Linked DNA regions of Xenopus tropicalis. The protein of the gene in region 1 purifies or fractionates together with the protein of each later gene. This does not show direct contact. Links are inferred from orthologs where the notes say so. Each region holds a gene or a part of one and is shown on either strand. Other genes may lie near its edges.

Region 1 (4,243 bases):
ACTTTTGCATGTTACACAGAGAGTACAAACCATGAATTAATCCCATTCAGATTAACTGCATTTATACAAGTATACACATTGTATAAAACAGGAAAAAAAAAAAAAAGACTTACCATGTTGTATGATATTCACTTGTTTGATACTCTGCAAGACATACAAAATGACACCAGATTACTAGGAAAATAATAATAATAATTATTATATAATAGTAAGGAAGTCATAAGTACATACAGCTTTGGCACCTGTTATCAAGAATGCCCAGGACTACTAAAAAAATCATTTAAATATTGAATAAACACAGCAGGACATTTTTGGCTCAAATACGGATTAATAATATCTTAGTTGGGATCAAGAACAATGCACAGATATATTTTTACTAAGAAAATCATTTTTAAAAGAATTATTTGATTAAAATGGAGTCTATGACAGATGTCCATTTTGTAATTTGGAGCTTTTCTGGATAGCGGATTATTGGATAAGGTATCCAAGTACATTACATATGGTACTCTTATGTATGTACAGAAATATAATCCCATGTAAACTTTACGTGTAAATATGCTGATGGCATTATTAAAGGTCAACAGACACAAAGGGGGCCGATTCAAGTCCGAATTAAGAGTACGATTTGCGAAAATTCGCATTAAATAAAAAAATTTCTGCATTAACTTTGCCAAAAGTCGTGTTGTGTTTGTACGAAAATATTGCGGTACTATCTGATAGTCACGAAATTTTCATATCCGAACGATAGTAAATGGCGCGAAAACCTTTCTGACTTCTGAACCTTCAGTGCATGATTTTGGAAGCCTCCCATAGGACTCAATGGCACTCTGCAGCTCCAACCTGGCCCAAGGAAAGTCACGATACGGAAACGTGAATAAATCCGAAACTTTCGTACTCGGTGCAACAATACGATTTTGTCAAACATATTATCGAAAAATACGAAAAAGTCGCGGAAAATACACACAGTTCTAAAAGTTAGAAAAAATACAAATTTTTCCTATTCATAACCAATCGTACATTGGTAAATGGGCCCCTAAGTGGCATATCATTAATGGAAATGTTTTGTAGAGCAAAAACTATAGTAAACTATACTACATTAGGATAAGAATTTAAATTACATGCAGATTTACTTATTTTTTACTTATTTTGCCTAACACTGGAATTTTTTTGAACTGCCCACTCATCTTGTTTGCAAGTACCTTCCTCATTCAAATGAGCAAGTTTGCTTTGGAGAGTCAGGATTTGGACAGGTTTTATAATGTAAATGTGTTGAGCATAACAAACCAATAGAACAGAATAGTCCAGCCTAGTGCGTTTTTAAGGAAAGAGGAGTGCAGCCCCAAAGTCAGAAGTAAGCAATCACTGGAGGGGGTGGGGGCATAAAAATTGGCACCCTGCAGTGATCAACCCCTTTAGGGCTCTGGCACACGAGGAGATTTGTCGCCTGCATTTTTTCCCCCTGGCGCTTTGGCGACAAGTCATCCACGACAATACCCACGAAGAGATTTCATGCGAGTTGAGCTCCAGGCGATCTGCTACCCATGGTACACTCAACAGTTACCCCTCCCTCATGTATACTTAGGTTGCTCAGAAAAGGGTCTGTGTGCGATTTGAAACAGCAGGCGATTTGAAGTAGCCTCGTATGTTTTGACGCTGGCGATTTCCATTGATTTAGCATTGGCGACTTGTCGCCAAATCGCTCTTTTAATAATCGCTGGCGACAAATCTCCTCGTGTGCCAGAGCCCTTATTTTCCTTTACAGATAAGCAGATGTCTGTGCTGAAGAGGATTCATATATGCATCTGAAATCTAATTAGAAATCTTGCAAGAACCATACTCATTTATTTATGTGTATTCATTTCCAGTATTTCAGTACCAATTTAGATAACAAATAGTAACAGGATCTGTACCTTTTATGCAGTGAACCTCAATCAGGGGCAACACGTTGCTCACCAACCCCTTGGATGTTGCTCTCAGTGCCCCCAGGTAGTTATTTTTGAATTCCTGACTTGGGGGCAAGTTTTGGTTGAATAAAAACAAGATTTCCTACCAAATAAAGCCCCCTGTAAGCCATTGGTGTGCATAGAGGCTGCCTAATAGCCAATCTTAGCCCTTATTTGGCTCCTCCATGAACTTTTATAATTCTTGTGTTGCTCTCCAAGTCTTTTTATATTTGACTGCGGCTCACGAGTAAGGGTAAAGATACACAGAGCTACTAGTAGCAGCTACTTGTCATGGCTACTAAAATAGACAATGCTGATCATTTACTGATAATTGTCTCTACATGTGTTTTAGGAGAGGCAATTCTCAGTATTGTCTATGGCTGGATATTTTCTGGAGTTTAATACCTGTGAAAAAAAGTAGCTGCTACTAGTAGCTCCATGTGTTTTTACCCTAAGATTGGTTGGGGACCCCTACTTTTACGGTTTCCCAGCAAACACACAATCACAGCTACCTCTAAATAATCTTTCATTCCCATACTTTTTGTTAACTAAAATGCACCTTTTCGGCAATATTCATGCAGCGTCCCCCAGTCCTATTTGGAAGTAAGGACTAATGAAGAAGAAACTGAAAGTAAACGCAGTAAAGGAACATAGGCAATGTGCCCTGTCATCGCTCATTTCATGTCTACATCAGCGACACAAAGTTCCGGAGGGTCCCAAAACAACTGGAGTGAAAGAGGCCTCTATAACGTGCACTCACCGATTATCTTGTCAGTTTTAAAGACAAAAAACGGAGGAATAGGGTTCACCGAGCCGGCAAAATAGCGCAGTCACAGCACGCAAAGCTCCCCAATCATGGCCGCCAGCGCATGCTCAGTGAGTTGTGTTCCTCTGTACGTCACACGGATACGCATTAGCCGCAAAGCGCAGGGCCACTTACTGCCATATTTGATGTGGGCATTGCGCGTGAAAGGTGATTTAAGTTCGCTACAAAAATAATGTTTAGGGAAATGTTATGTTCCTTTGTTTACGTACACATGATACAGGTGAGGAAGTACTCTGTAGATAAATGTGTTTGCTTTGTGGCCAAGGTACATGTACATTACAGCAAAGGTTTATGTGTTCGCCCGCAGTGCGTTCTGCTTGACAGGCCTTCTTTGCTTGAACTGCGACTCCTGCAGCTCTGTTTGGGCAAAATGCGACTTTAAGGTTCTGCGGGGAAAGTGCTGATTTGTTTTACATGGTTTAAATTGTAGACATTTGGAAGGCGTATAATGGCTTTAACATCATGACGCAATATCATCTCTTAGTGAGTTCAACGTGCGCTTTTGTTTTATTGTTTTTTAAATGCATAAAAATCGAGCACGATAATAATAATAGCTGTGCTACTGAATGCGGGTGGGTACAACCAGGCACAATAAAACATGCCTCCCAACTGTCTCGATTTATATAGAACCTCCCGCTGTCCCACAATACAGGTTACATTTCCCGAATTGACCTGATTGGTCCAGTTGTTCCCTACACTCAGATCTTTCAGGCGTCACTCTCTCTAATCGCACTGCTCCTTTCACTTGTAAATCGCTTGAGCTCTGCTCCTGTGATGCCTCTTCCCTCCACATTCAAGGGGAAACTGAGGCTGCAGGAAAGAGATCTGAAATGTGAAGGAAGATTCACATGGTTGAAGGTGGAGGGAGAAATTATAAACACTAGTAATGAGTAATTGGCTTCTGTGAAAATTTTGCAAAACTACAGAAAAATTTGCAAAACGGAGAAACCGCTGGTAACGCACTAATTTTGATGGAAAAAAATTCGCTCATCACTAATAAACACTAAAGCAGGGGTAGGGAACCTATGGCTCGGGAGCCAGATGTGGCTCTTTTGATGGCTGCATCTGGCTCTCTGCCAAATCTTAAATAAAAAAAATAACAGGAGGCGTGGCCTGCGTATGGCGGATAGAAGACGTGTTCTAAGCCTTAGAACACGTCTTCTATCCGCCAAGCGCAGGCCACGCCCTCCTCTGCATCGCATCCAGCATCCGGCATCCTTGGGACCCACCCTACCTTGCCCCACAGCATCCGTGGCCAAACATATTGTATGGCTCTCACGGAATTACATTTTAAAATATGTGGTGTTTATGGCTCTCTCAGCCAAAAAGGTTCCCGACCCCTGCACTAAAGCATACCCCCCAACTGTCCCGCTTTCTGCAGCGCATCCCGCTGTCCCGGATAGTTCAATGAATGTCCCACATTTCCGTAATCTATTATGGAAATGCGGGACATTTATTGAACTACCCGGGACAG
Region 2 (4,443 bases), on another chromosome or scaffold:
TACTAAAACTGCCCCTAAGTCTTTGGAGGGTGCACCAGCTTGGAAAATGAATTACAAAGTCCCGTGGCACCATCTTACATTATTGCCAGGCATCTGTGGCTTCAGCTTGCACAGTAAAGTTTTCTAAATTGAATCTACTACACATATGTGAGGGTTGAGCACTACAGGTGTTCTGTTGGTTTTTCCATGCCAATTCATTGTTTTTCTAAAAATAACTATATTTACTTGGGGCTGCCTAATATATTGGTGAAATATTGTAAATGTGAAAAAATAATGTTGAATGATGTATGTATGTATTTATTTTTTCACCCATCTGGCATATCGTTCTATTGTAATGCAGGAATGTACTTAGGTAGGGATTGTCTGGTTTACCAGATCAAAGTCGCTGATATTGGTGCACTAATTTTTTTTAAGAAGATCACTATTGCAGCAATGCTGCATTCATCACACAAGAATCCTATGTAAGTTTACAAAGCATTTTTATATTGTTCTGTACATGCTTTTAAATGAAAGATGTGACTTTATCTTGACAGTGACAAGATATTAAAGAAGAATAAAAAAAAAAAATTACCTGACTGAATAGCGCTTCACGGAACCCATTAACCTGTAAGAAGAAAGAGAATGGATTTTTGAACATTTTTTGTAAACATACAAAAATGTCCTCAGATCTAGGGAGTGTATCCTGAGAGCCATAGCCCAGACTAATATATACTGCAACTTTTTCTTTGCTGCTTTTAATATTAGTTGGTACAGTGATGGTCACAAACATTTGTGCCAAACACCATATGTTAAGTAGGCATGCCTAGGTTTTGGGATGGTGAAGTGATTTGTGAAGTATACAGGATCTAGAGGAATGGTGCTTCCCCAAAAGACTTTATTACATAATTTAATAATACTCTGAAATGCACATGGTCCTTGCACTGTGGCAGATTTGGGTGAAATATTGACTATTGTATAGTGTAGTCTTCTGTAACACAGTAGCCAACTTGTAGCCAAAACCATTAAATTACAGTTTTAGAATAAGGGTTACATTGGCACTCTTATGCTTAAATCAGTGCTCTGGATTGGAAGTAGATTGGGAAGAGGTGTGTAAACATTAGTAACTCTCCACACATACAAGTAATTGAACTGTAGCAGTTCTTAACCCTTAAACTGAGGAGTTAGGCACCTATCACCTAACCTTACATTTTCTGTATGTATAGAACTATAAGCACACCTACTACATGAATAAGTGTATTTTTACAAAATAGACAGCAGAGGGACCTCTAGTTACAGAGATGCAGATATTTTTTCTCTGCTTAATCGTGTGAAAAGGTTTTCTCTTTTTACTCATTTGTGCTGATGACTCTGCAAGTTTTTCCACCATCTTGGATTGATTGTTTATTTCACATTACTCAAATAGCAGACTCATTTTGACTAAATTCATATATTGTTTTACAAAATGCAACTGATAAAGAAAAATGTGATCTCTGAAACAGAAGAAAAATCAGGCAAAATAAATTTTTTAATCAATTACATGCTTTTATATCTTCATATTTGCTCGATATTTGTGTGGTCAATGATATCTAATGGTCCATATTCAGAAACCTTTTTTTTATATTACAACTTATTTACGTAACTAGTGGGAGGTCCTATCAGATATCTATATATGTGTCTATTTGTTCAGTTGTAACATGATTCTTTTGCAACAGTAATTTTGAATCTGTGCAAGCAAGGACAAGGCTTGTTTCCAACTACAAGATATTTATAGAAACGACAACAAGGAAAGCTGGCTAATTTCTGGGCTTTTGTGCATCCCGGGGTCTGCCATCAAGAGGCTACCTAGCTCTGGGTTCAGCAAAATATTTAATGAGTAAATGTTAAGACAATTTATCTGCATGTGTAATTTACTAACACAAGTTTTACAGCAATCAAATAAGCTGTCTTTGTGGAACAAAATGTATTTTTGTAATACAATGTGTAAAGAGAATTTTTGGTATTAAGGGCAACTATCTCATAAGATAGAATGTTTCCTACTACACTACAGCTGCGGGCTGATGGAGCCCACACTTCAATTTGTGGAAACAAAAGTATCACCTGTATCCAGCCAAGTACTGTGGCTCAAGGGTTCTTTTAAAAATAAAATTGTATTTGGCATTAATATTAAATAGGTAGTTCATTTTAAAAATGAAATTGTATTGTAAGAAAATGTACAGAGGCTGCAAACCCTAGCAACCAAAGGTTTGCGTGTTCCATACATTGCGCCTTATTATATTCCATAATTTTTACCAATGTTTCGGCTCCTTTAAGATGCATGTATATTGGAGTACGGGCCACCTTTGTTGTATGTATTATATTTTTTGATCCTTGGCACTCAGCTTTAAGGAAGAGCAACTTTCAATGCAAATCATATTTAAAAATGTTATTTTATATATCTATATATATTATGCAGAAATAGAAGGTCTTTTATTGGCCACTTTTTTGTTCACTTTCAGTTTTGCACCTCAGTGCTGCAGCTTCTTTTCTAAAGTGTTCCTAGTTACAGGAAATTTTCTATTAAAAAATAATGAGAAGCAAAAAAGCAAATGCTCCTTTTAAAATTTTAGTGACTTTGTATATACACACATTTATACATTAGTGCAAGTGAACCTCAGAGTCCAATTCCAGTACTGTGAAATTCCCACACATAGTTGTGACATCACAACCCAACTTTAGAACCTTCTTCCTTCTTACTACCTTCGTATTGTTTTTTTGTATATGCCACATTTGCAGTAATAGGTTAAAAGCTTTTATATATCGACAGGGTACCCTTAAAAAGGCCTGCTGTACTAGCTTTACAGATCTAATAATATAAACCATGACATACACACTTACCTTCTCCTGGTTGTCCTGGGAAATTTTCAGACGAATCACTTTAGCCATAACTGTAGTTAAAGAGGGTCTTTCACCTTCCTCGGCCTCAGCTTCCCTTACTGTTTTGCTGTGTCTGTGTTGGGCCTCTATCACTCTGTTACTTTCAGTTTTACTTTAGCTGCTGCTTTATACAGTAGAGAGGGGAGGGGTTAGTGGCAATAAAAGGGAATTTCCATCAGCTTATAAACTGCACATTGGCAGATGCATTGCGATATAATTTTATTTTGTGAATAACGTGATGTTGATATGACTTAATAGCTTGTTTATTTTAAACCTATGGCCTCAGCAATCTAAAGTGAAAGAATATATTATAACTCTAATTACTTTGTAAAGTGTTTAACTACCTTGATTATTATTTCTGTTATTTTTTTTTGCTGCCTAAACATGGTCTACTATGGAGTAAAATAGGAGCTGGGTGCAGTGCACCCAAGGTTATTGGTAATATAATGTATGATCATGTTGGATATTAGTACAATTTGGCCATACATGGGGACAGCTGAATTACATTGATCCACCTAATCAGAACATAATGCAGAAATGGTTGCTATGCAGTTCCAGGTTAGATGATACCCCCATACATAACCCCAACTGAGCTGTCAGTTGGACAGTTTTTTTTCTCAATATTTTTTTTGACAGATTCAAGTTTACAATACAATGTGAATATATGGGCTCAAAGAGGCCTTCACAAAATAGTAAAAGTTGTTTAAGTATAAAAAACCACTAAAAATATATTAAATTTACCACTTCAAACCACACCCATTTTATCACAATGGTGGTAGTGCAGCAAAAACCAAAATGCTTGGTCCTCACTGTGGGGATATCAACAGTTATTCATATATGAAAGAATTATATTATGTCATATTAAGACACACTCAGAAATCCATATGCCTCCTCCTCCCCTGTGGATATCACAGCAACCCCCAGCAACATAATTACACACCTTAGGGACCATTTAATGGCTGTTTCCAACTACTAACAAACTCCCAGAACAAATCCCTCCCAGGTTCACCTCTCACAGGCAGCATAGGGCAGGCAGAGTATGGCACACACATGCAGCACTCTGCCTCCCTTATGCTGCCTGTGTGTGCCATACTCTGCCTGCCCTATGCTGCCTCTGTGGGCCATACTCAGCCTGCCCTATGCTGCCTGTGTGTGCCATACTCGGCCTGCCCTTAGCTGCCGGTGTGTTCCATACCCTCCCAACCCTATGCTGCCTATGTGCCATACCATACCTGCCCTATGCTGTCTGTGTGATGTAGCCTTTCCTTCTCTTTTAAGCACGAACGATGCATAAATGATTCCCTATGAAACATGGAATACTGCATGATTTTGGCTACACTCTATCTGGGCCTGTCAATGGAGCTACGGGGGTATGCACTTAACAGTGGATCCACTTTCCTCTGCCTGCAGATAATGCATGTGTAGGAAAGTGGACAATCCGCTTAGTGTACCCTTGCCCTTAAGAGGGAAATGACACAGTAAGTGAAGGAAGGGTTAGAGGTCATAACAGCTTGACTGCATGAGAAGGGTCCTATCACTAGCGGGCCTTGC
Region 3 (4,299 bases), on another chromosome or scaffold:
TCTTGGTGACTTTGGATTACCTTTGATTTTATACAGGGAACATTCATGGCTTTATACACATTGTATTTCTGTACATCATGTGCAACTAAGGGAAGGAGTATACACACATACCAGTGGTACTCACGCTGGCTAACACCTGTGCCTACTATTGCAACGCGCATAAACTCACACTCACTACATCATGGTGCACTTACATCTCTCCCAGGGGCACAAGCGCCCGCTCACTCTCACAGCGGCACAAGCGCCCGCTCACACTCCCAGGGGCACAAGCGCCCGCTCACACTCCCAGGGGCACAAGCGCCCGCTCACACTCCCAGGGGCACAAGCGCCCGCTCACACTCCCAGGGGCACAAGCGCCCGCTCACTCTCCCAGGGGCACAAGCGCCCGCTCACTCTCCCAGGGGCACAAGCGCCCGCTCACTCTCCCAGGGGCACAAGCGCCCGCTCACTCTCCCAGGGCCACAAGCGCCCGCTCACTCTCCCAGGGCCACAAGCGCCAGCACTCACCCACTCAAAAGTGACCCCAGCACACCTTCATTACGAGTGAGCCCCAGTGAAAGAGCACAGCCTCAGCCACACACTCACTCACTGAGTGACACAAGTGCTCACTCACAGCCCCAGCCACACACTCACTCACTGAGTGACACAAGCGCTCACTCACAGCCCCAGCCACACACTCACTCACTGAGTGACACAAGTGCTCACTCACAGCCCCAGCCACACACTCACTCAGAGTGACACAAGCGCTCACTCACAGCCCCAGCCACACACTCACTCACTGAGTGACACAAGCGCTCACTCACAGCTCCAGCACAGACACTCACTCACTGAGTGACACAAGCGCTCACTCACAGCCCCAGCCACACACTCACTCACTGAGTGACACAAGCGCTCACTCACAGCCCCAGCACAGACACTCAATCACTGAGTGACACAAGCGCTCACTCACAGCTCCAGCACAGACACTCACTCACTGAGTGACACAAGCGCTCACTCACAGCTCCAGCACAGACACTCACTCACTGAGTGACACAAGCGCTCACTCACAGCTCCAGCACAGACACTCACTCACTGAGTGACACAAGCGCTCACTCGCAGCTCACAGACACTCACTCACTGAGTGACACAAGCGCTCACTCACAGCTCACAGACACTCACTCACTGAGTGACACAAGCGCTCACTCACAGCTCACAGACACTCACTCACTGAGTGACACAAGGGCTCACTCACAGCTCCAGCACAGACACTCACTCACTGAGTGACACAAGGGCTCACTCACAGCTCCAGCACAGACACTCACTCACTGAGTGACACAAGCGCACACTCACAGCCCCAGCACAGACACTCACTCACTGAGTGACACAAGCGCTCACTCACAGCTCCAGCACAGACACTCACTCACTGAGTGACACAAGCACTCACTTACAGCTCCAGCACAGACACTCACTCACTGAGTGACACAAGCGCTCACTCACAGCTCCAGCACAGACACTCACTCACAGCTCCAGCACAGACACTCACTCACAGAGTGACACAAGCGCTCACTCACAGCCCCAGCACAGACACTCACTCACTGAGTGACACAAGCGCTCACTCACAGCCCCAGCACAGACACTCACTCACTGAGTTACACAAGCGCTCACTCACAGCTCACAGACACTCACTCACTGAGTGACACAAGCGCTCACTCACAGCTCACAGACACTCACTCACTGAGTGACACAAGCGCTCACTCACAGCTCCAGCACAGACACTCACTCACTGAGTGACACAAGCGCTCACTCACAGCTCACAGACACTCACTCACTGAGTGATACAAGCGCTCACTCACAGCTCACAGACACTCACTCACTGAGTGATACAAGCGCTCACTCACAGCTCACAGACACTCACTCACTGAGTGACACAAGCGCTCACTCACAACTCCAGCACAGACACTCACTCACTGAGTGACACAAGCACTCACTGACAGCTCCAGCACAGACACTCACTCACTGAGTGACACAAGCGCTCACTCACAGCTCCAGCACAGACACTCACTCACTGAGTGACACAAGCGCTCACTCACAGCCCCAGCACAGACACTCACTCACTGAGTGACACAAGCGCTCACTCACAGCTCACAGACACTCACTCACTGAGTGACACAAGGGCTCACTCACAGCTCCAGCACAGACACTCACTCACTGAGTGACACAAGCGCACACTCACAGCTCCAGCACAGACACTCACTCACTGAGTGACACAAGCGCACACTCACAGCCCCAGCACAGACACTCACTCACTGAGTGACACAAGCGCTCACTCACAGCTCACAGACACTCACTCACTGAGTGACACAAGCGCTCACTCACAGCTCACAGACACTCACTCACTGAGTGACACAAGCGCTCACTCACAGCTCACAGACACTCACTCACTGAGTGACACAAGGGCTCACTCACAGCTCACAGACACTCACTCACTGAGTGACACAAGCGCTCACTCACAGCTCACAGACACTCACTCACTGAGTGACACAAGCGCTCACTCACAGCTCACAGACACTCACTCACTGAGTGACACAAGCGCTCACTCACAGACACTCACTCAGTGAGTATAATACCAGCAGTGAGACTCACGTAGTGAGTTTCCGAGTCCAGAAAAGCACTCCCGGCCAGAGTTCCCGAAGCTGCACTGCCCGGCCCAAACTGCCCTTGATTTGCGCCAGGAGCTCATTGGATTCCCGGTCCAGCCGATTTGCGTAGGGAAGTAGTAAGTTGTACACGATTTCCTTTTGGGGGGTAAATCCCAGCTCCTCGGCCCTGTCCTCTGCCGCTCCCATCTCCTTGTCCGTTTACTCTCCGGTTCTCTCCCCAACTCTCTCTCTCAGGCTGCCGGTGACGAAGCAACCAAAGACAGGGCGAACGCGTCACCGTGACTGCCTCAGCGCGTCACTTCCGCCCCTCTCTAAGAGCCTGTGTCACTAATGGGCGGGCTCTAGTTAGCGAGCGGGACAGGCTGGCGTTGGCGGACTTTGTTTCGTTCCCAGTGCTGAGATTAGGGATTCCTGTGAGGAATGCGGTGTGTTGGGGAATGGAGATTATGGCTCTTTACTTAGTTTTTATATTCCTTATAAGTGAGGTCCAGCCTGCAGCTCCCTCCCAGCTACAACTCTGCGCATCTCCCAGGCTGCATGTGTTGTGTATGTAAGCCCTCCACATAGGGCCCAGCACCTGTAACTTCAGTAGCATCTTCCTTACTCAGATATTGGCATGCATCTATTGTGCCCTTGGAAGAAATTATAATTGGTGTATATGACTTAATTGCAAGTAAATGGGCCCCTCAGCAAAATAAGTTTAGGGCCACTCATAATTTCAGGAATAATACGTGTATATAAAATAGATTATTGGCCAGTGCCTCACTCTCTCACTCTGGGAGTGTGTGCATGTATGACTGGTTATGTCTATGTTTCCTTCCATAGGATTTAATGGGAATCCCTTAGAAATGCTAGATATGTGAGGGAAACAGCTGAGTACAAATGTTTACCATCAAAGGCAAGACTATTCCCAGTTATTTGCTGTTCCATCAGCACAGATAGAAGTCAGGGGGGCTGCTGGCTAAATCCCTGGAACAGCACCATGTGTGCATATATGCACGAGCAAATGCGCTTAAGGCTGCACTGAAGCCGGGGGGAAGGAGATAATGGGCATGCACGCGGGGGGGGTAGGGCCTGGACTGGGCATAGGCAAATAAAGAGGTACATGACTAGTGCCCCCCACTGTTGCACCCTAGTTACGTGCCTATCCCTAGTTCCAGCCCTGCTGGGAGTCTCACCATGTGCCATTGGCCTTGAAGGTAAATTCTAATGGTGATGGCACACTAGGAGATTAGTTGCCTGCAGTGGCGACTAATTTGCTGGGCCCTACAGCAAATTCAAGGTGCCTGACCAAAATCTGCCGTCAGGGCTGAATCGGCAGAAGGAGGTAGAAATCCTATTGTTTCTACCTCCTTATCTGCTGTTTCAGCCCTGACTGTGTGTGGCGGATCTGACGATGTTTCGTGCGGCCGATGGTCGCATGAAACATCGTCAGATCGCCACGTGTATGGCCAGCTTTAGCCTTTCCTTGTCCTTTAAGGCCCAAAAATGTTGGTAAAATTGTTGAGCTATGCTATCAAGATATTTTGAAATTGGTCACTAATTAAGGCCTTGCTAGGCCCCCCTTCCAAGATTTTATCTCAGCCTTCTACAAATCATTGGTGCTGTAAGCGTGTCTATATCAAAAGGAAAGTTGTGAGGGTCCCCAGATGTTCTGACA

Evidence for each region. Proteins that work in one complex are often made in the same cells at the same time.
Region 2: the proteins of psma4 (region 1) and psme2 purify together in Homo sapiens (affinity purification with western blotting; 3 studies listed by BioGRID, with this or other methods). This does not show direct contact. The link is inferred for Xenopus tropicalis from reciprocal best matches to the Homo sapiens genes PSMA4 and PSME2.
Region 3: the proteins of psma4 (region 1) and psme4 purify together in Homo sapiens (affinity purification with mass spectrometry; 4 studies listed by BioGRID and IntAct, with this or other methods). This does not show direct contact. The link is inferred for Xenopus tropicalis from reciprocal best matches to the Homo sapiens genes PSMA4 and PSME4.

What each region holds. Positions count from the first base shown.
Region 1 is NC_030680.2:86,380,483-86,384,725, reverse strand, and holds the start of psma4 (proteasome subunit alpha type-4), read right to left. Parts: upstream 2,805-4,243; 5' UTR 2,704-2,804; intron 2,632-2,703; exon of another isoform or gene 2,503-2,631; intron 145-2,502; 5' UTR 117-144; coding exon 114-116; intron 1-113. UniProt on the Homo sapiens protein: Component of the 20S core proteasome complex involved in the proteolytic degradation of most intracellular proteins. This complex plays numerous essential roles within the cell by associating with different regulatory particles.
Region 2 is NC_030677.2:139,414,637-139,419,079, reverse strand, and holds the start of psme2 (proteasome activator complex subunit 2), read right to left. Parts: upstream 2,980-4,443; 5' UTR 2,902-2,979; coding exon 2,854-2,901; intron 605-2,853; coding exon 572-604; intron 1-571. UniProt on the Homo sapiens protein: Implicated in immunoproteasome assembly and required for efficient antigen processing. The PA28 activator complex enhances the generation of class I binding peptides by altering the cleavage pattern of the proteasome.
Region 3 is NC_030681.2:23,695,921-23,700,219, forward strand, and holds the start of psme4 (proteasome activator complex subunit 4), read right to left. Parts: upstream 2,980-4,299; 5' UTR 2,826-2,979; coding exon 2,623-2,825; intron 1-2,622. UniProt on the Homo sapiens protein: Associated component of the proteasome that specifically recognizes acetylated histones and promotes ATP- and ubiquitin-independent degradation of core histones during spermatogenesis and DNA damage response.